Linked DNA regions of Arabidopsis thaliana. The protein of the gene in region 1 purifies or fractionates together with the protein of each later gene. This does not show direct contact. Each region holds a gene or a part of one and is shown in the gene's direction. Other genes may lie near its edges.

Region 1 (5,715 bases):
TATCTTATCGATTTGGAAGAAGTCTTTTCGGTTTCTTCTGGTTTTCAACAATTGCATTTTCAAGTCATTTAGAAGTTTTACTTTATTACTAAACTTGGAGACTCAATTGTTGTAGCAATATTGCTGAGCTAGCAGAGATTGCTCCAAGAAATCTGCAATGATTCCATAAATGTTTCTATGTTTATGTTAATGTCTCTCTTTATTCTCATTTTGGTTCTCTGTTTATGTTTTATTTAATTGAATCCATCTATTTGCCTAACTCTTGAAGGCAAGAATCTTGGCCCTGAATGCCTCATTTTTCCTCAAAACTGGTGGACACTTTGTTATCTCAATCAAGGTCAGTGCTCTTATCCTTAATCAAATTCAACAATGTTCTCCTCTGTTATTATTCAATTTGTATTTCCGTCGCTAAATAAACATGTCTCATCTGTTCAGGCCAACTGTATCGACTCTACAGTTGCAGCAGAAGCAGTCTTCCAGAGCGAGGTGAAGAAGCTGCAACAAGAGCAGTTTAAGCCAGCAGAACAGGTGACTCTCGAGCCGTTTGAGCGTGACCATGCCTGTGTTGTTGGTGGTTACCGCATGCCGAAGAAACAAAAGACCCCAGCCTCATAGAGGAACTGTGGACAGTAGTGCCTGTGTATTAAGACTTATTTACTGGGTTTTGTTTTTATCTCCTTGCTTGTTGTATTAAGCTAGAGATGGATAATGCTTTTATGTCTCATTTGGAAAATTTTATCCTCGTTTTAGAACTAATATATATTGATGCAACATTTTCGTCCAATGATTGTATCTCCATCAGTCTTTTCTATGCTTGTTTTTGCTTGGCTATAAGAACTACTGTCCATTTTAATCCTACTTGTTTCTGCATGCTGAATTGATTGTTGAAGTAGTTTGTTTTGAACATGATTATGCTCAAGAAAAGGCGTAAAAGTATCACTTAGCTCTGAAAGGAACTCATTTTTTTTTGGTTAATAAAATTTTAAACACAAACAAACCGACTAAGTGTTATTGACATAAGTCTCAATACAGTTTCAAGTAATATTCGGCTTCTTCCACTATTGGATCAAAGTTATAGGCGCCTTCTTCCATCGGTAGCGCATTTTTAAGTATTGCCAATTGGCGTGACCAATGAAAATAGTAAGTTTCAAAAGAAAACGGGTAATCAGCAGAGGTAGAATCATTGTGGCGTCTCAAATCTTTAATTTTCTCAAAACAACGCTTCTCTAGATTCCCGACAAGGTTGATACATTGGCGTAAATCGAGGTGTTCCAGGTGAGGACAACCGTCAAGAATGGCGTTTAAGCCTGTTTTGGTTAGTTTGTTCCCACAAAGCTGGAGATGGCGTAGTTTAGGCATGCTTTCTGCAATTGCTATGGCATCATGATCATCATCATCCGAACTTAAGTAAAAGAGGCGGTTTAGCATCAATGTCTTCAGATTTGGACAAGACAGCCCTGCAAGTTTCATAGACTCTCCTGACAATGATATTCCTGAAACCTCAAGCTCTTCAAGCATTGGAAGTTTCACAACTGCTTGAACAAATCCATCGTCTGTTATTTCTGAGCACATTAGTCTAAGGCTTCTAAGATTACTTGACCTACAAGTAATGGTGTGTAAAAAGTTATAAATCATAATCTTGAGATATCTGTTTTTAACAGACACTTGAAGACTTACATGAAAAGTAATCAAAAGTCAAAACTAGAATTAGAGGAGAACCTCTCCGCGATGTATGTAAGGAGAGAATCACTCCCGAAGTCCCCAATGTTGATCTCCAGCAAGCCACCCTCGCTACGATCAACGGCGTTACGACATATCGCCTCAGGATTGTTCACCAGTACTGGTTTGTTGTAACTCAAGATTCGCATGTCGATTTTACGCCATATGGATGGGTCTTTACAAACATATCGTCACGATCTACACACTTTCTGAGCGTTCTCCAGTATCTCAGTCACGCTAAGACGTAGCAGAATCAAACACATCAAATCCGTCGGAAGATCCGCCCAGTTTTTTGGCTCTTCGTTTTTCATCAGTGAAGACAGCGGATCCATTTCTGATGAGGATCAAAATGTCAAATCTGTGAAATATATATATCAGAAAGTCATTTAGTTTTAGGCCTTCTTTGATTATTTGTAGATTCTAAGTAGTTTTTGGTTTTAGTTTTAGGCCTTGAATGGTAGTAGATTCTAAAATGGTTTCTAGTTTGCATAAAAAAGTTTCCTGAAAAGCTAAGAAATCTAAATTTTTAATTTTTTATTAATTAATGAAAAGCAAAAAAAAAAAATCTATTTATGCAAACTAGACACCATTTTAGAATTTACAATCATTCAAGGCCTTAATTGTTTATTAACTAATGAAAAAAAAATCAATTTTATGAGTTTTTTGTCCAACTTCGTGTGATTTTTTTTCCTCTTCTTGTTTTGTTTAAACTAATGATTGTTTTGGACTTTAAAGTCAGAAGGCATCTCTGATTACTTGATCTGCAATATAAAGTTATAACAATAAGATGCAAAATTTTACAATCTAGTCCTTATGGCACTAAGTTTACGAAAACAATTCATGTCTAATAAGCCCATTACCTGAATTAATTATTGGGCCTTAAGCTCCTAATATTCTGACCTTTTGTATTTCAAAATCATGTATTCCTTGCATAACAAGAAATCTGATGGTGGTGATTCGATAAAAAGAGTTCGATAGGATCTGAAATCTTCCTACAAGAAGTAAACTGTTTAACAGAATTTGTTAAATGTAATAAATAAAAACTTTTCCATATTTATCGGAAAAATAAATGGAACCTTTCCAGCTTTCCTATACCAACTCCAAATTCCAATAGATAAACATTCTTAAACCCTAGCAGGGGCTCGATAAAAACTAAAAAATAAAAAAACCAAACACGAAAGCTGCAAACATCGATTAACATCAACCTTCTCTTTGTTGCTTTCGCTCTCGCTCTATAGCAAAGATGAAACCTCCCCAAAGAGGTTAGAACCCTAGCAGCCGTTTTGTTTTACTACTTGTTTAATTTCTCTGTTCGACCTATAGTATAGGGTTGAGGGTTGTTAACTCCAAATTCGTTTTGTCACAATATATCTACCTGAATTGCTTGTTACGTAAACTGTTTTGAGTCTTCACTTCTTCAATCCAAGTTTAATAGGAGATTTAATAATACTCTCTTCTGATTAGTTAATTTCGGTTTTATCTGTATGATTATGCTCAGGACGTGGTGGTGGTGTTAGAGGTGGAAGAGGTTTAGCCAGAGGCGGTGAAGGAAGTGCCGTAAGAGGCAGTGGAAGAGGCGGCGAAAGTGGCCGTGGAAGAGGGCCTGGAAGAGTTAAAAGTGAATCGGACGGTGGAATTAAGGGAGGAAGCAAAGTGTTAGTGACACCACACAGGCACGCAGGAGTGTTTGTTGCCAAAAGTAAAGCAGATGCTCTTGTAACCAAGAACTTAGTTCCTGGTGAAATCATTTACAATGAGAAGAGAATCTTTGTTCAGAACGAAGACCGATCTACTGTTGAATACAGAGTTTGGAACCCTCATAGATCTAAGTTAGCTGATGCTATTACCACTGGTGTTGATAACATTTGGATCGTAAGTCCCATAACTTAAAGTAACAATCTCTTTTATTCTTCTGTTACCGAAACTAATGAATACTTGTTTCTTGAAATTGTAGAAACCTGGTGTTAAAGTTCTGTACCTTGGTGCTTCTTCTGGATACACCGTGTCTCATGTCTCTGACATTGTTGGTCCAGTAAGTGAACACTAAACCTTAAACCCTAACTTTTAAGATTGAGTGAGTGTTTTCTCTCTATGTTACTTATATCTAGCTTTTCTGATTGGTAGGAGGGATGTGTTTACGCTGTTGAGCATTCTGATATTTGTGGTAAAGTTTTGATGAACATGGCGGAGAAGAGAACTAATGTTATACCAATCATTGAAGATGCTAGACATCCTGCTAAATATAGAATGCTTGTGGGAATGGTTGATATCATATTCTCTGATGTTAATCACCCTGAGCAAGCTAACATATTAAGTCTCAATGCTTCTTATTTCCTCAAATCTGGAGGGCACTTTATGATCTCTATAAAGGTTTGTAACAAAACTTTTTTGACCATTGATTCAAATCAAAATCATTCTCTTTTTAGTGTGCATTGTTTGGTTAACTCTAAGTTACTTGTTTCAGGCGAATTCTATAGACTCAACAATTGCAGCAGAAACTGTGTATCAGATGGAAGTGGAGAAGTTACAAATGGAAGAGTTGAGACCAACAGAGATATTGCATCTTGACTCTTGTGAGGAAAAGCATGCTTGTGTTTTTGGTGGATATCGCTTGCCTAGGAAGTAAAAAGCTGATACTGCTATCTAATTAGGAAGCTGATACTCTTTACTTAGTTTGTGATTGTTAAAATTCATACACATTCATGAGGCTTTAAAATTATTATTTTTCTCTGATTCTCACTGTGATTTGTCTTCTAACTAGTATGAGTTTTAAGAAGTTGAGTTTTGCAAAAACAAAAGGTAGAATACACATACATTTTGAGTTGAATTCTAGTATTTATATTTTGGTTTGTTTTATCGAACGTGGAACTAACACAACGTTACATTGAAGAATCATTCATTGTGATTTGAGATTTTCAATGTGATTTTAAAAGTTTGTTATCGATAATATGATTTTGTGGAAGTGTAATTTCAAATTTGTAGACAGAAAGTGAAACTCTGCTTGTTCATCAATTTATGTTTCCTTAGACATAATTGATAAATACATTGTTTTGTGTTTATGACAAAGAGAAGACGATAATTAGCTGAAAATAATCACATTATTCAAATATGTTCCAAAGAATAAAATTTTTGCACTATTTGCTATTTTCAGTTCTGCCTTCTAATAGATTAAACTTTCGTAATGAACTTCATCCTTGAAAATTTAAGAGTAAATTTGAAATTGGTCATCAGGTCATGTATTAAAGGGAAAAATAACAAAATAAAAATGTCAGAAGTGGGATTTGAACCCACGCCCTCTTACGAGGACCAGAACTTGAGTCTGGCGCCTTAGACCACTCGGCCACCCTGACTTTTTGTTTGTATAACTACACTAAACTTAATTGACATAGATTAAACGGATACTAATGCAAAATATGAAAATAGGCGCAATATCAATGTCTGCTTGAGCTATATCATATTATCATTGAAAATAGACCAATTGGCTGTAACATTGAAAATAAAAGAAATAAGATGGCTGGACACGTGGAAAACAAATTGCAAAAGAAAATGATTGAAGGAAATGTGTGGATTTTCGTGTGTCGATGGTAAGCTTCTATCAACTTCATTTATAACCTTTTTCTTATATGGGTTAACAATAACACAAGTAACATGTTCACCAATTATTTGTTCTACAAAAAAAAACTAACAATTTGGTAAGTTTAGAAAGAGAACCAGAACTAACCATAATCAATTCTAAAGCTATACCGTTTAAACTGACTAGTCTCTCTTCTCTTTTGATGTCTCATTCTGCAAAATTTTCATTAGGAGAAACATTCAGTTTTTAGACTATTAGTACACATCATATACAATCTATCTACATTTTGTAAAACTCAAATGTGTTAATTAATCAGATCTAACTACATTTGTAAATTATTTATGCTCTTTATACATTTTCAAAATGTAAAGATCCACAACAAGAGGAATGGGTTTGTTCTTAGTCCTATTCCCCGACCACAA
Region 2 (4,784 bases), on another chromosome or scaffold:
TGATTGAAAATGCAAAATGTGCTATAATTATCCACTATCATGAGAAGTACTGATTCAAAGTACATTGTATTATTTATTCAGAAGCCATAGTGCAGTAATTCGTGAACTTAGTCGAAAGGGACAACCAACAAGCAGTTAAGTACTTTATAGCACATTCACATTTGCTCTGCTTCAAGTGTTCTTTCCATTTTAAGAAAAAAATGAGTTTCATCGCCGTCATATTGTTCAATGGAATTATCAGTTCTCTCAAGGAAAATTAATAAGTAGATTTACTAGGACTGAATCACAAACATAACCAAATAATAGCTCAAATGCGCAGTTTGATAAAGATTACTTATAATTGGATCTACCTGTACCCCTCTTCATATGCCTGAAGTGCTCCTGTCCATTCCCCAATACAGTCCAAACCATTACCAATATTAATCTTCGCTAGTGCTTGACCCTACAAGAGACCACCATAAGTGAATATTAGAATCAGGAAAGAAGAATAGCTATAATATTGACAAATCCAAGAAAAGGTATAATCAGTTTTCCACAGAAAATGTTCAGTAGAGGCCTAATGAATTATTTCTGGTTTTGTGAATCAAATTCTGATGACAGTAGTGAACATAGGTTTTTATAATTAATCGTGCAAGCAAACAAATCTCACCTCCAGATTACCAATTGCTTCATGTCCCTCATAACTTCTTATGAACCACTTCAGGGACTTTCTGAAATTTCTGAGATTTTGGTAAGATTCTCCAACAATCATGAAGGCATCACTCAGCTTTTCCTTGTCACAGAGTTCATCTGATATTTTCTTCTTCCTTTTTGAATATTGAAGATGCTAAGACATTCAAAGAAGAAATAGCAACCCTTTAGTTGCATGCAAACTTCAAATGGCAGCCTCCTACTTAACTTTCAAAACTATATCACAAGTCATTGAAACAGTGATGCAGAGACTTGGATCACTCAGTATCCGTATGATACAGAATAATCATCGTTTTGCCACATAATAACTTTACTTTGCAAGTTCAGAACAAAGATATTATCCCAGCATTCAAAAGATAGGTTTTCTTGAGAGAACAAGAATCATGTAATTCTTTGATAATATAGTCTTCCTGACTGATCTGAAAAGACAGTGTCAATAGCAGAAGTTCACAAAACTTAAATCAAATCTAAGAAAATAGCATATTTTTCCTACTCCATACTACCTGATGAAATCTCACAATGCTTATTCATCATTAAAAACCCCTACGATGGACAACTTTAACTTCTGGAAACTTTTCAAATAAATGCGAACATGGGGTGGAGTGATAGGACTAAAAAGGAAGGAGTGTTTAAGTTATAAAACTCACCTTCAGCCATGCGAATACCATGCTAGATTTATCAATAAGACTTCCAAGACAAGCATTTACTTGGAGCATAGACTTTCGTTCCTCCGAAGTGCCTTTGGCATCAGTCATTTCTGCAGACAACTTCTTAAGCATAAGCTCTTCTTCTCTCAATTCTTCCATAACTTTCATGGATTTCTTGACTATCTTGGTATTATGCTCTATCTGTTCAACCAATGCACTCTCGTCTTGCATAGATTTCGCTAGACTAGAAGCTTTACCATAACATAAAAGAGCATCAATGTACTTTTGGGTCTTGTTGTGTAATTCAGCGAGATTGATATACCCCTTCGCTTCTCCTTGGACATGATTAATCTTATGACAGATATTAATATCCATCTCAATGTGTTTCTTTGCTTCATCCCAACTTCTCAGCGCCATAAAAACGTTTCCAAGGTTATGATGAAGCCTACTCCGAGCAGCATCATACTCTCTCACCTCCTCTTCATCGCAAATCTGCAGCCCTTTCTTAAGAATAGTACGGGCTGCTTCAGGATTATCAAGATCAAGGTCAAGCATACCGATGTTGTTATGTGCGTTAATATACTCCTCAAGGAATCCGCTAGATTCTCCAGGAGGTGGTTTCTCCTTGAGAATCTGTGCAAGTTCCATGGCTTTCTTAAAGTACTTTTTAGCACTCTGAATGGCTTCACAATCATCCTCAGACTTCAAGAACATTTCATGGTAAGTACGTCCAAGTTGAGTACATGCTCTTTGCTTCTCCACAGTGTCATTAGCTTCTTCAGCTAGCTGTAAATGCTTCTTCTGCAACCACCAGAAAAAAACACAAATTCAAAATGAAAAACTCAAACACCAAAATTATTCACGGAAAATTCAGGAAGCCAACAATAACCAAGTAGGAAAAAGCAATTGATTCAAGAGGGCTTACCTGATAAATCAAGGCTTCTTCGAAATTTTCGAGGCGGAGATAGATCTCGCCAAGAGACTGACAAGTAGGTAACAAATCTTTCCCAGGTAAATACTTGACGGAGATATCGTAATCAATCCTAAACCACTTGAGAGCATCAACGTACTCTCCATGATTCTTAAGGATATCGCCGACATTGTTAGCCCACCTCGCCTGTTCTCTCCGGTCACCCACTTCTTCTGCTTTCCGGTACGCTCTCTTCGCCGCAGCTACATCTAATCGACCCATCGGATGATGATTTCTCCGTTCTTCAATTGAAAGGTTTTTGTTTTCTTCCTTCCGATTTTCAGATTTCTCGAAATTTCTTTCTCAGTGATTTTGATTTTCTCATTTTCTCCAGTCGCCAAATTTTTGGTCCCATCCCAAACTATCCCGCCAAAATTCAAGGGTAAATTAGAAATTTTCATACCCTAAATCCTGAAGTTATAGGCCTTTTAGTTTGGGCCTTGGGTCGAGTTTATTTTGGGCTTCTTATATCCTCCTGTCTCCTGACAAGAAAACAAAAAAACCCTAAGGGTTCTAAGGCACTCGCTATATAAACTATCATTTTGCGCCGCCCGAACCCGAAGAAGAACTCTCTCTTGTAAACCTGCGATCTGAATCTTCCCGGCGGTGAAAAATGGTTGCGGAGAAGAAGGCGAAGAAGTCCCATGAAGGAATCAACAGCAGATTAGCTCTTGTGATGAAGAGTGGAAAGTACACTCTTGGATACAAGTCTGTTCTCAAATCCCTTCGCAGCTCCAAAGGTAAAAATTTAAAATCCCTCTTCATCGATTGATTATAGTGTTCGTCTTCCTCGTAATTTAGTTGAATAATTGTTGGATATTGTTGGGGGGTTTAGGTAAGCTGATATTGATATCTAGCAATTGCCCACCGTTGAGAAGGTCAGAGATTGAATACTATGCGATGCTTGCTAAAGTTGGAGTTCATCGCTACAATGGCAACAATGTTGATTTGGGTACTGCTTGTGGTAAATACTTCCGAGTTTCTTGCCTCAGCATCGTTGATCCTGGTGATTCCGACATCATCAAGACACTTCCTGGAGATCAGTGATTCTGATTTTGATGATTTTGCCATGTTGTTCTCTATGCTTGATTATGCTTTGTGTTCTTCAAAGACTTAATGTTAGATTTCTTTGGTTTCCCGACTTCCTCTTAATGGTTATAATTAATTACTACATTTTCGTCTCTGTTGATTGATTCCTTACACGAAAAGGCTTGATTACTTTTATTACAATAGTTGGCTATTAACTAATTACATGTTCAATTTATACAAAATCATATATAATGGACAATCTCTTAGAACATTTTAACAGGAACCATTTTTTATGTTCTAACTTGTAACAACCAACCAAATTAAATCTCAATTAATCAAATAGAAACCCTTCATCTTTCTACACTTCTCCTCCAACCAACAAATTAAACAAAAGAGATTAAAAACACAAAAGCTCTTCATCAGTATCAACGTTTTCTTTGAGCTTTTTTGGCTATTACTTTAACTTCATCAGAGACAACTTTTTCTTCGTCTCCATAATGGCCTCTTCTCTTTTCGTTGCTATCTCTTTCATATCTTCCTGATACTTAGCTTCTATCTCCTCCAGCTCTTGTCTTAACCTTTCTTCTTCCTCCAAACTTACTGGTTCGGTTGCTTCTTCTACTTCTTGAATGGAGCTCTTGTCTTCTCCTTTGGTGGCATCGACGCATTGCTTATCTTCCTCATCTGATCGTGGGCAATCTGAGTTACACGAGTGACTAACCAACTCACAAGTATCATGAAAAACAGTCTCCTCTTGTTTCTGTGGCTTTGCTTCGTTATGATGACTTCTTGAGTTCTGATTCAGTTGCGAATGGATGAGATGATCGACTGTGACATCGGTTTTCCAGGTGGGTATCATGTTGACAAGTAGTATATCAATCAGCTCGGCTATAAACGTGACGTTCTGGTCAGTTAACTCGAGTTGCTCAACCATCTCACTCGACACCTTAGAAGCAGTGTCCCCTTCTTGATAGAACAGGAAATGAATGTTCCTCACACGCCCTGTGCAACAAGACACAGTTATATTAAGTTTCAGAATGCAAAAATATCGAAGAAAGTAATGAATCTTAGCTGGAGCAGAATAAAGAACTGACCATTCTCATCTACTATACGAAGAATTAAGGACACAGACTGCTCATCGTTTTCTTCACCCTTGAGGACAAAGAAATTCCCTCTCTTTGCGCGTCTAACCTCAATACACCTGGATCCTGAATTGTCGCTAAAAGTAACAATAGGCAGGTTACTGTCTTCATCAAGATCTATCGACAAGGTTTTACTAGGCCGTGTTGTAGGAGGACCTTCAGACATAAGGCAACGGTCTCCAAATGCGCCTTCTTTGGGCATTACAATGTCAGGAAGCGGCAAAGGATTGTTCATTGTTAAACCATTTAGTTGCAGAAAAGGGTCCAATAAAAGCTCTTTTGCTGACAGCCTTTCGGATGCAGGAA
Region 3 (6,056 bases), on another chromosome or scaffold:
CCGTCGGAAGGTATCCAACCAACGATCGCGCTGCTTCCGATCATCTGACCGTTGGTAGAGAATCCGATCCCGATGAAAGCGCTTGAATCCGGCGCCGATAAGATAAAGCTCCATGTGTTCTCTGCCGTTCTTGCATACTACGCGTGAATATTATTAGAAATTCGGTTTCAATATTTTCAGAGTTGGAAATTTGAAAATTAGGAAAATTGACTTACTCGGAGGATGAAATTTTGGGGAGTCCAAGCTTCGGTGCATTGAAGGAGGCTGGTGTTGAAGGTGAGGTCGTTGAGAGGTAGAGTTGAGTTGCAGGAATCTGTAGCAGCTTGTTGAGCATTAACTATGGTGGAGAGAGCAATTAAGACGAAGATGATGATGGAAACAGAATAAAGCTTCATGTTTTGTTCTCTTTCTCTCTCTCTGGATCTGAAAGATGAAAGAGAGAGGAAAGTAAATGACTAATGAAGAAGGATCATGATGATGACGACGACAATGAATTGTATATATATATATATATATATATATATATATATATCTTGTTTATGAGATAGTGTGTGTGAAGAAGCAGTTGAGAATTCAACTAATTTTAAAATTCTTTGTATCGTTAGAATTCGTTTTTTTATATCATTATTATTACTAATCTGGTAAATAAAGAGCTCTGTTTCATTAAGAAAGAGTAAAAATCCTTTCGTTCTGTTTCTCTGTCTCTCGTCGGCTTAAGATGTGGAAAAATGATTGCAATGTACCAGCTAACTTAACATGTTTTGATCATTTAAAGACAAAAATAATAAACTTGATTGAAAAGGACAAAATGATAAATCTCTCTTTAATTTTTGGAGTACTTGCTACGAATCCTAGCTTTTTCACGACCAGTATCGGTCTAGTCAGTTTAAGTTTCAAGTCAACTGGTTATTGATTGCATCTGCCGCATTGTGTTTATTCATTGATCGACCAATGGGATTTTTCAGACATACAGATAATAGTATGTACTACTATACATTTGCCTTTTTGGTGTTATTACTTTTAGTACTTGGATTCACATAAATTTTGTAACAACTGGCTTCTATTAGCTAGACGGTCTATTTCCCGTCTAATTCAAAACCAAACTTTGTAAGACAGATGAAAGGAGCAATGAATTTGTAATCCAGTTAAGCTAAAATGAGATGGTAACGTGATTGTTACTCAAATCTCTGGTTTGGGTTTTTTACACTTTCAGGGACCAGAGAAAACAACCGATCCTGACAAAAGCAATATCTGTTATCCTACACACACACAATATAAAAGTCATTGACATACCACCGCTTGTGCCATCTCAACAAACACCATTTCACTAGTCTATATGGGCTCCATCATCTGAACAAGAACCATTCAATTGTTGGCTTTTGGCATCAGCAATCCTCGCCGCACTTCAGTCATGTAATCCGTTGGCGATGGAGGAGGTAATGTCTTGTTTGCTGCAGCCAGGATCTGTAATTGTTTTGACACAAAACAAGAGATGGGGTCTCATCATTCATGTACTCACATCTTTAGAAAAACTAGAAGCATATGATAAGAGTTTGAAGTTAGTTCCACCTGATGAGGTAGTTTACCCCAAACACTCCCTCCATAGTACATGATTGGTCGCACTGTGAAACAGAGAAAGTAGGCAAACTTGAAAATCAGTTATACTTGACTAACCGGAAGACAGAGATCCAGATAAGAACATAGATATATCTGATTGTATTTGGAGGCAACTCAAGCAGCACAAGTATAATAGACACAAAGGACAAAGGAAAACTTAGAATCCCTTAATCTCACCAGATAGATCCACAGTTGGGTCGTCGTATTGATGCATTTCAGCTGCCCATCCTGTTCATGACAAATCAAGAGCACGTAAATAAGACAAGTACATAAAACTGACTGCATAAGCAGTGAATTCAACACACCTTATCTATTAAGTTCAAAGATTTCTAAAACTAGCACTGACTCAACAAATGCTTAGCATAGCAACAGTTGATAGAAGAACGACCAGATAGTGATACAGAGCAAAGAATAAACCAGCTAAATGTTTAAAGAGATAGTTCAGATTTATACGTTGGCTCATGAGCTGATAAGCTGCACTCCTGGAGCAGTCCTTTATTGTTATTATCCTCTGGGTCTGGGATATGTTTTCCATCTGAAGACCAGTAGCAGGAGGCTGATTTCTCTCATTATCGTTGTTCTGTTGGCTACTTGTTCGATCTGCATTTCACTCTTTATTTAGCCAAGAACCATAGCATACTAGCAAAACCAGATATAGCTTGAACGACGATTTATTTTCAAGAAAACAGGCAAACAAATGGGTCAAGTACACACATGGAGAAATGAATCAACCAGCGGATTTGCTAATAAAGAGAGAGCGAGATCTGAATTTCAGGCTAAACTCCTAATAATTCACTTTCTTAGAAACGGTTCTTGAAGTTACCAACTATGCACAAACACAATGTGTACAGATTCGCATGCAATCAATTCCTGAATCTACAAAACAAGATTACTTCTATTCATCGACAATCTTTGATCTAAGCTATAATCTCCACAGAACTAGATACTCTCGGAATTAAGAACCGAATTGATTAAGAATCAATAAAGAACGACTGAGGCAAAGAAGACAGAGAGAGAGAGAGAGAGCTCACATACCTCCCGACTTCCGGCGATTCCCAGAAGCCTTCCTGTGACACGGAGAAGCAACATCGAAAGGTAAGAACGGAGTAGCGAAATCAGTAGAATAAAGAACACTCGAAATCAGCAGATCAAAGACCACTGAAGAAGAAGAAGAAGAAGTTACCTTTGATTAGGAGGAGTGTATCGATTCTGATTGGAGCTCGAATCCGCCATTGACGAGTTAGGATTTACGCAGTTTTTTCAGAGAACTCTCTCTCTCTCTCTCTCTCTCTCTACCGGAGGAGATCTGTCAACAGTCAACTGTTTAACGCATAGAGAACGTTGAAAAGCGTCTTCTCGTCTGAAGTCGTTCAATCTTCACGCGCGAATTCTTCGACGCGTGTTTATCAACCTCTCGCGCGCTTTTATTACGCCTTTCCGAAATTAACGTTTCGTGTTCAATTTCCGGTTTGCTGAACCAACTGTATGTAGATTTCTGGTTGAAACATCTACTGGTCCACCATTGGACTTTATGGGCCTTACTACATTTTTGGGCCCAATATTGTAATTTAGCTGATGGATCCAAAACCGGAATCGGATCTGTACCCGCTCCATCGTGAGGTCTCTCACAGCGAAAGAAGGGTTTTGAGGGTTTTCACACCTTTCGCTGTTTCCTCGTCAATTTCTTTGTTTGGTTGTTCTTTCTTCGCATCCAAAGATGAAGCTCGTCAGGTACTGTTTCGTTCTCAGTTCTTCTTTTCTTTAGAAAATTCATGTTGTTCTTAATCTTAGTTAGCTCCTGGCATGGAATCCATTCCCAATATTGAGCCTGAGCTGATTTGTGTTATATGGTTTTGATTGGATCGAGTAGGTTTTTGATGAAGTTAAACAATGAAACTGTGTCTATCGAGCTGAAGAATGGGACTGTGGTCCATGGAACCATCACTGGTAAGTTCTTATTGTTAGCTTCCGGTTTCTTTGTAGCTCTTCTCATCTTTTCTTCTCTCTCGATTTCTCCGTTGCTAGGTCTTATACAAGTCGCGATCTGTTCCCTTATTTTCAATTGGCCCTAATCGCGTCCTTGTGATCACATGAATAGGTTGAGTAAACACACAGTTAGAGCCAGTAGTCATAAAGGTATATTTATTGAAGTTTAAGCTTGATGATTTGGGCAGGTGTTGATGTGAGCATGAACACTCACTTGAAGACAGTGAAGATGAGCCTGAAGGGGAAAAACCCAGTAACACTTGATCATCTTAGCTTGAGGGGTAATAATATTCGCTACTACATTCTTCCTGATAGCTTGAACCTCGAGACTTTACTTGTGGAAGACACTCCTAGAGTTAAACCTAAGAAGCCTGTTGCTGGTACTGCTTCATTCATTTTTGGTGTTTGTAATATTCGTCTTCATAAGCTAAAAGACTTCTTTATCAGTCCATTTATTCGTTCTCTCTTTCTTTCTTCTTTAGGGAAAGCTGTTGGACGCGGTCGCGGACGTGGCCGTGGGCGTGGTCGCGGCAGAGGTCGTTAGATGTAGCAGCGCTCTGGAACATGTTGAAGGTTTGTGAGTTTAATTTTTAGGAGAATGTACGAGTTATGTAACTAGCAACTCTGGCAAAGGAAAGATTTGATTGAGAAATAGTATGATTGATGCTCTAGTAAGGAGTTACTTTGTAATGGAATTCCATGGATAACAAGATTTGGCTTTACATGTTATAAGAGCATCTACAAGTAGAGAATTTGTGTGATACTGATAGCTCAAGACTTTTTATTCATTTAACAAATCTGACTATCAAATTGCATTAACATGTTGACAATCTTAGTATAGAAAAACTGCTATCTCCTCCGTTAATCTTCCACATGAAACCTATCTCACATGATCCTGCAATTGGGATCTTGATTGTAAACGGGTTCCCCGATCTGATTGTAGGGATCACACGGGTAGGGATAGGAAGATGGCACACCATATCCATCATGAGGCCATGGTTGATAACATGGCTCAGGTTTTTGCCATGGTTGACAACATGGCTCAGGTTTCTTCTCTTCAGGTTTCTTCTCTTCGGGTTTCTTCTCTTCGGGTTTCTTTTCTTCTTCTGGCTTTTTGTCACCATCCTTAGGTGGTTCAACTTTAGCTACGCTAACAAGCTCCGCAAATGCAACTTTTTTCCTGAGTGTGTTGATTAGAGCAATCATATCGACTTCAACACCGGTCACCTCAATCTGGTTCCTGTGATCTCCCTTTATTTCCACAGCGTTCACGCCTATAAACCAATGCGATAAATCTTTAGATTCAACAAGAATTACAATCATCAAGTTCTCTAGTGTTTGTATCATTGTTACCTTTAAACTGAACCGCAGTTTTCATTGCCTTTGCTCGAGTTGTGTCATCAGTCATAGCAATTCTTATCAGGATCTTTTGCTGAGTACAATAAGAGAACTCCTTAACATCACAAAGAGAAGTCTCTCTCTTTCACAAGAGAATCGAAGTTATTACTTGTTGTTGAGTACACAGGAGACATACCTTCATGTTATTGTCTTCTGAGAATCCGCGTGATTTGTTTGATGGGAGTTTGCTCCGAACTTTTTTGTGTCTTCTTCGATCACAAATTAGAGGAAATATAAATAAGGATCGATTTTATATATTCATTTGTTCCATGAGTCGTTGTCTCACACAACGGAATCCGATAGTTTGAATATCGTTGTCAGGTTCATATCTTCGGTCCTTACGTGTTTTATTGGTTCTAGTTGCCGATTCGTACGAGCTTATTACCAATTTTTTAATTTTAAAAAGCCTAACAAAAATCTTTATTTGATTGAGTCAAAAAATTAGATGAAATAGTTATTTGACTGGGTCAAAATAAATTGATTAAATAATGGTAAACAACACAAATAATATTTGTTTACTACACCGTTGCCTGGTAGTTTTAGACATGTATGGCAAAAGACTTAATAATTTTTGAGTCGATATGTCAATTATGATGATTAATAAGTTTTGTTTGTTCATCATCCAGTTGTGCATAACAATGAATAGAACAGATGCGTTAAAAGTCTTGGTCTTCTCTAGAGTACATGTTTCCCTCTAACTTCCTTCTCAATAAAAAAAAAGATTAACTTGACTACTAATCTGTCATCCATCTGTATTAACAAATGTTATATGCTTGACTTGCAATACGTACTTTCGCAATCATATTGCAGTTTTCTAACGTAATGAAACAATAAGCTTTTAGTTTATACTAATGTGTGTTGTCTAATGCTAATTTGACTTTAATTTCTTAACACATTACACATTGATGATGCCAATTGCAGTGATATCAGCAACTTGCAACCGTTTGATCCAATGATATATCATAGGTAATTAGGTATCATATCTCATGGAGATAAACGGGTAAATAAATATAATCTTATTTGCTAAATAAAAAATAATCAAGTTTAAGTTTTAA
Region 4 (6,267 bases), on another chromosome or scaffold:
ACAAACAAAAGCTTCTAATAGTAAAACTTTATAGTCTAGTAGTTTTCATTAATATTGGCGTTACCTCACGGTTACCACGCGGTTTATGTGAATAATGGTAAAAAAAAAACACTTTCCAAAGTAGAAAATGATATGATTATTTTTGTTTTGTTTCGAAAATTTGAAATGAAAGGGTGTGTAACTCTCGTTTCATCCTCGTAGTAATGATGAAACCAAATTCAAATAATAAAATCATTGAAACTCTTCTTTGTTGTCAACATAATAATTAGTTTTCTATAAAACCAAATTTGTCGTCATCATCTCTCCTTCTACTTTCCAAACCCATTAATATTTATAGTTAAGATTCAGGTCAGAAGTTGGGGACAATCAAAACCTCTTCTCTTCTTTCTTTTGTCAACAAAGAAACATTTCCATTGAGTCTCTCTCAATGTTCTTCTTCTTCTTCTTCTAAGATTAATTCAAAGTGTTTAATACTTTTGAAATTTTAAGTTTCTTTTTGGTCAGTTTCAAATGGGTGACATCATCGGTCACAAGGATAGGCAAATATGGCCACCCTCTCATCATGTTCTTCAAGATCCATTGTTTGATCATTCCAACAAACATCAGGTTTATATTATCTTATATCTAAATTTTTTCTATTTGAATTTGTTATTTTTTTCTCCTATTCTATATCGAAGTCGTTGTTAATTAAATTCTCACATAGTTGCAGAAATATGTCAAGAACCACCATCACCACGGCAACGGTGAATTTCGTCGGCCCGGGGCACCTCCTCTTAGACAAACATTTCCTTTGGTATTTCTTTTCAATCTTTTTTTTGGTTACAATCTCTTAACGGTATTGGAGGAAATATCATTATGGACATTAACGTATGTATTTAAACATATCTTATATATTTTCAAACTAAAGCTCAAATATTTTGTATATATATTTTTGTGTGTTGAAGAACTATAATACAAGACAAAAGCACCAAAGCAATTGGCAAAGGAGTAAAGGAGAGGATCGTATGCAAGCATTTTTCTTGGTTACACCGGGCCGTACAACTTCTGGCACCGGAGTTTTTCTTCCAGCCACGGCTTCTCATCCACCCACCAAAAAAACAGGTTATTTATTAATTACTCTATACTAAGTATTTATGAACACAAATAAAGGTGCATAATGTTTTCAATTTCATAAAATCAATTCTACCAACTGCATATACTAAAATTCTTTTAGTTTCAGGTTAAAGTTGATTTGACATGATTTTTAACTTACATTTTGTCGTTAAGTCGTTTTTTTTTTTTTGAAAATAATGTTCAAATTATATTCAAAAGAAAAATAACTTTTTTACAACCACTGCTTCTTGAGATTGAAGATTTAGAGCTAGACAAAATTTAGAAGAATTTGAAAATTTTTGATGATTTTTTTTGTCGTTTTTTGTTTTAAACATATATAAACACAAAAACCTCAATTCTTCGATTACTACGAAATATATCATGGATTCATACATCTATTACCATTTTTTTCTATCTATTTCGTAGCTTTTGTAGGACAATTGACATAAAGAAATTGTGATTTGTTGGTTTTTACGTTAGTCAGCCTTTACTATATAGACTCATTAATATATGATTTAATGTTATACAATTTTGATTGATGAAAACAAAATTCTCTTGTCATAGCTTGCTCACCGGTGCTTCTCCCGACTCGTGTAGTTCAAGCACTCAATCTTAACATTCACAACAACGGTATCCATATTTCTCCTCGTCCAGGTTCTTTTCCAACCATTATTTGTTCTCATCGACCGTTATTCAAATACATTGTGTTATATATTACAAATTAGTTTGAACTATAGATATATTTTGGTTGAAATTGGTAACATTGTTTCTTTTGAATGTAGAAATTAGAGAAAATGATTCGAAGAAGAAGAGCGAAATGTTGGCAACAACACCTATCAAGATTGAAGCAGAAAATCCTATTGATTCGCCGGAGAAACTTCTCCCCGAGGAATGGATTTATTGATGACCCAACCATTAGTATGGAAAAGTAGAATCAAATAAAATAAAATGAAAGATTCTTGTGTTGATGTTACAAAAGAAAAGAAAAGATTCTTGTGTTGATAAGAAAAGAAAAGATTCTTGTGTTGTATGCTTCGTCACCATTGGATTAGTAATAAAAATCCAAATAAGAGACTCTGTATATTCCATTCATAATGTAATATCCCCTATTTTCAGTTGAAAAATTTGCATAATTTAGTTGTCACAATTATTAATGGATTTAGGAAAAATTGGATCAACAATACCAAGATGAATGACTGGATTCGAACACCAACGTTACTATTGGGCTAAAAGGCCGAATCAAGAATACTAAAACCTTTTGTTTTTTTACTATTTAGCTAGCTAATGATGAAATTTTTTATCATTGTATTGTTAATTTTGACTAAACAAAAGTTTTAAACAGTTTTTTTTCAAAACTAAACAAAATGTGATTGATAAAAGATAAATTTCTAAAGTGAGTGATTAGATTCCGCAAATCAGATTATTTGAGTTAATTATTCTGTTTCTTTCATTTGGGGTTGTTTTTGTTCAATAAAAAGTTGAGAAGGGTGTTATTGATAAGTTCAAAACAAATAGGGTATAACCAAACATTCAAGGAAGTAAGAGACCGTCGGTGTGAAGCAGAATCCATAATTGGGGACTTAAACATAAATTCCCCTATTGCTGCTTTTCCTCCTCCCGCTCTTGCTTCTTGCCATTGCTGTTTCGAGCTCTCCTCAAAGCCCTAATTTTCTCCTCTTCTTCTTCATTCTCTCACCATGAAGCTCGTCAGGTATGGTTTCTACTCGGATTCTCTTTATTTCTTCGGTTTAATTGGAATTTGCTTCGAAATTTTGAGATTTCTCTTTGTTTTCATGCTCTTCGATGTTTGATTTCGTATCTGGATTTTTTCGCAGGTTTTTGATGAAATTGAACAACGAAACAGTTTCAATCGAGCTTAAGAACGGAACCATTGTTCATGGAACCATTACTGGTACGCTTCTCTTAAAAACCCAGCTCTATTCGCTGTTTAGGGTTTTGTGTAAAATCTACGATGCTTACCTGTAATCGATGGTTACTCGCGTATTCACAAATTCTGATGGTGTAGTTTGAGTTTAGCTAGTGTCTTTCCCCTAATAATGCTTTGTTGGTATTAACCCTAGTGACACTGGTCAAGTCAGATGCAGATGAGTACACTAGATTTTACTTGAATCGAGGTTTATGAGATAGTTTAGTTCTTCTTCAAACTTTGATCACCCATGAGGTAGTTTACTTTCTCCTTTGATGGTTGTAACCAATGGAGCTCTCGAATTTACTAATTCTGATGTGTAATTCTGTTAATAGACCTAGAAATGCATTGTGGGTGTTGAATCTCTCTTGTTTGCAATAAGTGAATGATAATGGTGGTCTAGTCAGATGGAGATGATACATTTTATTTTGCTTTATAGTTGGGTGTATGAGAATGCTTAGTTCTTCTGGGAGTGAGTTTAGCACATGATTATATATGAGATAGTTTACTTTAGTTTCCCTCTTTATCATTGTGGACCTCTCTTGTTAACAAATCCTGAGGCTTAATTCTGTTATTAGTGATAGTATCTGAAGAAGTTAGAGTTTAGCTGAGTCTTAATTATTTTTTTACCTCGAAATGCTTTGTTGGTAACCCTCTTGTTAGCAAGAACTGAGTGATACTTGTCGAGTCAGATGCAGATGATTAGATTTAGCACATGAAAGTCACTCTTATCTCTTTCCTTGTAAAGAAAATCTCTGATTTTTCACAGAACAGTTACCGTGTGGCTTCTTGTTTCAACTTCTCTTTTAGTCTGATTGATCTAATACAAGTGGTCTCTGCTGTTAATGTTTGGTTTGGTTTCCTTTTTCTGCCATCATCTTGTTTAGAATGCAATTATCAATCAACTCACTGACTGGTACTATCTACTTGTGATGACTTAATGCAGGTGTAGATGTTAGCATGAACACTCATTTAAAAGCTGTGAAACTCACTCTGAAAGGGAAGAATCCAGTTACATTAGACCACTTAAGTGTCAGGGGAAACAACATTCGCTATTATATTCTTCCGGACAGTTTGAATCTGGAGACTTTGCTGGTTGAAGACACTCCAAGAATCAAACCCAAAAAGCCAACTGCAGGTAACAAAACATTTCTTTTTTCTGAACTATGCCTTTGTTTTTGTTTTTGTTTTTGCTTAGACTCATCTTTCTATTGTTCTCTTTGGTATCAGGTAAGATTCCAGCAGGTCGGGGACGTGGTCGTGGAAGAGGTCGTGGACGTGGCCGTGGTGGTCGTTAAGCATTTTGCAGTAATCAAAAGTCTGGTCCTTTTTGGTTTGTAACAGCAGGATTGTAAAAGATCTATCTTGTAGTGAGATTTGGTGTCACTAAGACAAATTCTTGTTATCTCTTTAAGTTTTCATGAATTTGAGATTTGAAACGTTATTGCCAAACATACATCACTCAATATGTTTTATTATTGACTTGATCACTTTATTACATAGTCTGATAAAACGTGGGGAGTTCGAGAAATCAAAATCTTGACCTTATTTTTCAAGACTTTGGCAAAGAGTCGAAAGATTAAACTAAGATAGAGCCTTTCATGACAGTCACAGCTTTCCCGGTAAGCAAGACTCTCTGCTTCTCCTTATCATAATGAACCTTGAGTGTTCCACTTCTTTGCGAAGCCTGAAAAGAAATTCGTTGATTCGTTAATATGTGTGATTATTTCTTGCTTCGAAATGTTAGTTAGCTAGTTACAGAGAAAGATGAATTACCGCAAAAGCGACGAAATCACACTTGTTCATCTTGAGGCTCCAGTAATGTGCTAATGAACAATGTGCACTTCCACATACAGAGTCCTGAAGGAACAAAAGCACCAAGCAAATAAGGTAACGGTAAACACTTTTGGTAACGGCTACCACAAGTAAAAAGCAGAGAATTGCTCCCATGCACGAAGTTGCAGGTTAGTTTCTTAACCTCATTGAGCCCTAGTTTAGGAGCAAAGAGTCGACTGCAGAAGTCAAAAGGAGATCCTTGAGGAGCAGCAGCGGTAACAATCATCACTTTGCCAGGGCATTTCACGATATCATCCACTCTTGGCTGAAATTCAATGACAGATTCCCAAGATGAAAGCACAACCTGTAATCAAATCATATAAATAAGCAAAAAATAGAAAGTTCACAAGTTTTCTTTCTAAGGAAATCTGAAATACATACGATGATTTGGTCTGTTGAAGTTGTTTTGAAAGCTCCTATCAAGGGTTTAAAGATGAGTCTATCAGTTTTAGTTTCTCGAACATCGACAATGGTAGCTCCATTCAAGGCTTTAGAGAAGATGGAGACATCCTTGGAGCTGTACTCACAAGTTGTAATCACAGGGAAATTCATTTCGATCAAGAAAGATCTTTTAGAGTCACAATCAGACAGCCTTTTAGCGGTTAGAATCCCCGAGTTGGTGGAAAATTCGACAGTGTCAGATGAACCAACCAAACTGTTTGAGAAGATACTATGAGCTGATGCTAGTGTTGCATGACCACATATATCCATCTACAAAATCAAATAAATCGAACATTGTACAAAATGGAACGGAGGGAGTAATAAAATACAAAAATGTTTGCAAGATGGACCTCGGCTACAGCCGTGAACCACCTCAGAAGGAAACGTGGTGGTTCGGAGCCGGGGATGGGAATAAGAAAACACGTCAATGGAAGGTCAAACTCAGAGGCCATAGACTGAAGCCACACGTCGTCTCTCTCATGATCCTCTTCAAGAAAACACACTGCAGCTTGGTTCCCCTTGAAGGCTGACTCAGTGAATGCATCAACCTGTGTTTAGCAATACTCGTTCATAAAGAAGAAGAAGATCACATTATCAGAGCAAAAACAAAGAAAAGAATATACAATTACCACGAAGTACTTGACAGGAAAATTCATATCCATTGACGTTTTTGGTTCTATTTTTGCCATTGATGTTTTCGTTAGACCAAAGCTAAACTTTTATACCATTTTGGAGGCTTTTAATTTACAATGCCACTTCATCTTTTAAGAGAAACAGACAATCTTTGTAGGGCAAAATCTTATTGAAACAAATCTCGGCTTTTAATCTTTTTTGTTTTGTTTATATGCTAACAGTTGAATTGTACTCAAATCATTATGAAATCTGCAGCTTTGCAAAATTTTATATTCAGCAAAGGACAGATCTAATCAAGTGGAAGCAAGCACTCATAAAGCAAAAACGCACTTATTGAC

The links.
Region 2: the proteins of AT5G52490 (region 1) and RLK902 fractionate together in Arabidopsis thaliana (co-fractionation; one large-scale study listed by BioGRID). This does not show direct contact.
Region 3: the proteins of AT5G52490 (region 1) and AT3G07590 fractionate together in Arabidopsis thaliana (co-fractionation; one large-scale study listed by BioGRID). This does not show direct contact.
Region 4: the proteins of AT5G52490 (region 1) and AT4G02840 fractionate together in Arabidopsis thaliana (co-fractionation; one large-scale study listed by BioGRID). This does not show direct contact.

Annotation. Positions count from the first base shown.
Region 1 is NC_003076.8:21,295,895-21,301,609, forward strand, and holds AT5G52490 (Fibrillarin family protein), read left to right. Parts: upstream 1-2,962; coding exon 2,963-2,981; intron 2,982-3,217; coding exon 3,218-3,591; intron 3,592-3,673; coding exon 3,674-3,751; intron 3,752-3,843; coding exon 3,844-4,089; intron 4,090-4,183; coding exon 4,184-4,345; downstream 4,346-5,715. Other genes in the region: FIB1 (fibrillarin 1), read left to right, coding at 269-337, 436-615; AT5G52480 (RNI-like superfamily protein), read right to left, coding at 1,024-1,600, 1,720-1,868; AT5G52500 (uncharacterized protein), read left to right, coding at 5,681-5,715. UniProt on the Arabidopsis thaliana protein: S-adenosyl-L-methionine-dependent methyltransferase that has the ability to methylate both RNAs and proteins. Involved in pre-rRNA processing.
Region 2 is NC_003074.8:6,450,517-6,455,300, forward strand, and holds RLK902 (Ribosomal protein L7Ae/L30e/S12e/Gadd45 family protein), read left to right. Parts: upstream 1-2,786; 5' UTR 2,787-2,920; coding exon 2,921-3,047; intron 3,048-3,142; coding exon 3,143-3,354; 3' UTR 3,355-3,502; downstream 3,503-4,784. Other genes in the region: TSK (tetratricopeptide repeat (TPR)-containing protein), read right to left, coding at 351-442, 650-826, 1,338-2,138, 2,263-2,529; WNK6 (with no lysine (K) kinase 6), read right to left, coding at 3,791-4,338, 4,431-4,784.
Region 3 is NC_003074.8:2,419,812-2,425,867, forward strand, and holds AT3G07590 (Small nuclear ribonucleoprotein family protein), read left to right. Parts: upstream 1-3,239; 5' UTR 3,240-3,334; coding exon 3,335-3,348; intron 3,349-3,487; coding exon 3,488-3,564; intron 3,565-3,642; exon of another isoform or gene 3,643-3,778; coding exon of another isoform or gene 3,779-3,791; coding exon 3,792-3,983; intron 3,984-4,085; coding exon 4,086-4,147; 3' UTR 4,148-4,176; downstream 4,177-6,056. Other genes in the region: AT3G07570 (Cytochrome b561/ferric reductase transmembrane with DOMON related domain-containing protein), read right to left, coding at 1-137, 216-395; AT3G07580 (uncharacterized protein), read right to left, coding at 1,366-1,464, 1,570-1,622, 1,795-1,845, 2,071-2,217, 2,653-2,684, 2,801-2,850; AT3G07600 (Heavy metal transport/detoxification superfamily protein), read right to left, coding at 4,489-4,877, 4,957-5,035, 5,138-5,143. UniProt on the Arabidopsis thaliana protein: Involved in splicing regulation.
Region 4 is NC_003075.7:1,261,937-1,268,203, forward strand, and holds AT4G02840 (Small nuclear ribonucleoprotein family protein), read left to right. Parts: upstream 1-2,690; 5' UTR 2,691-2,789; coding exon 2,790-2,803; intron 2,804-2,927; coding exon 2,928-3,004; intron 3,005-3,197; coding exon 3,198-3,227; intron 3,228-3,965; coding exon 3,966-4,157; intron 4,158-4,249; coding exon 4,250-4,317; 3' UTR 4,318-4,523; downstream 4,524-6,267. Other genes in the region: AT4G02830 (uncharacterized protein), read left to right, coding at 511-606, 704-793, 945-1,101, 1,657-1,746, 1,875-1,996; AT4G02850 (phenazine biosynthesis PhzC/PhzF family protein), read right to left, coding at 4,599-4,706, 4,796-4,879, 4,998-5,159, 5,237-5,566, 5,647-5,844. UniProt on the Arabidopsis thaliana protein: Involved in splicing regulation.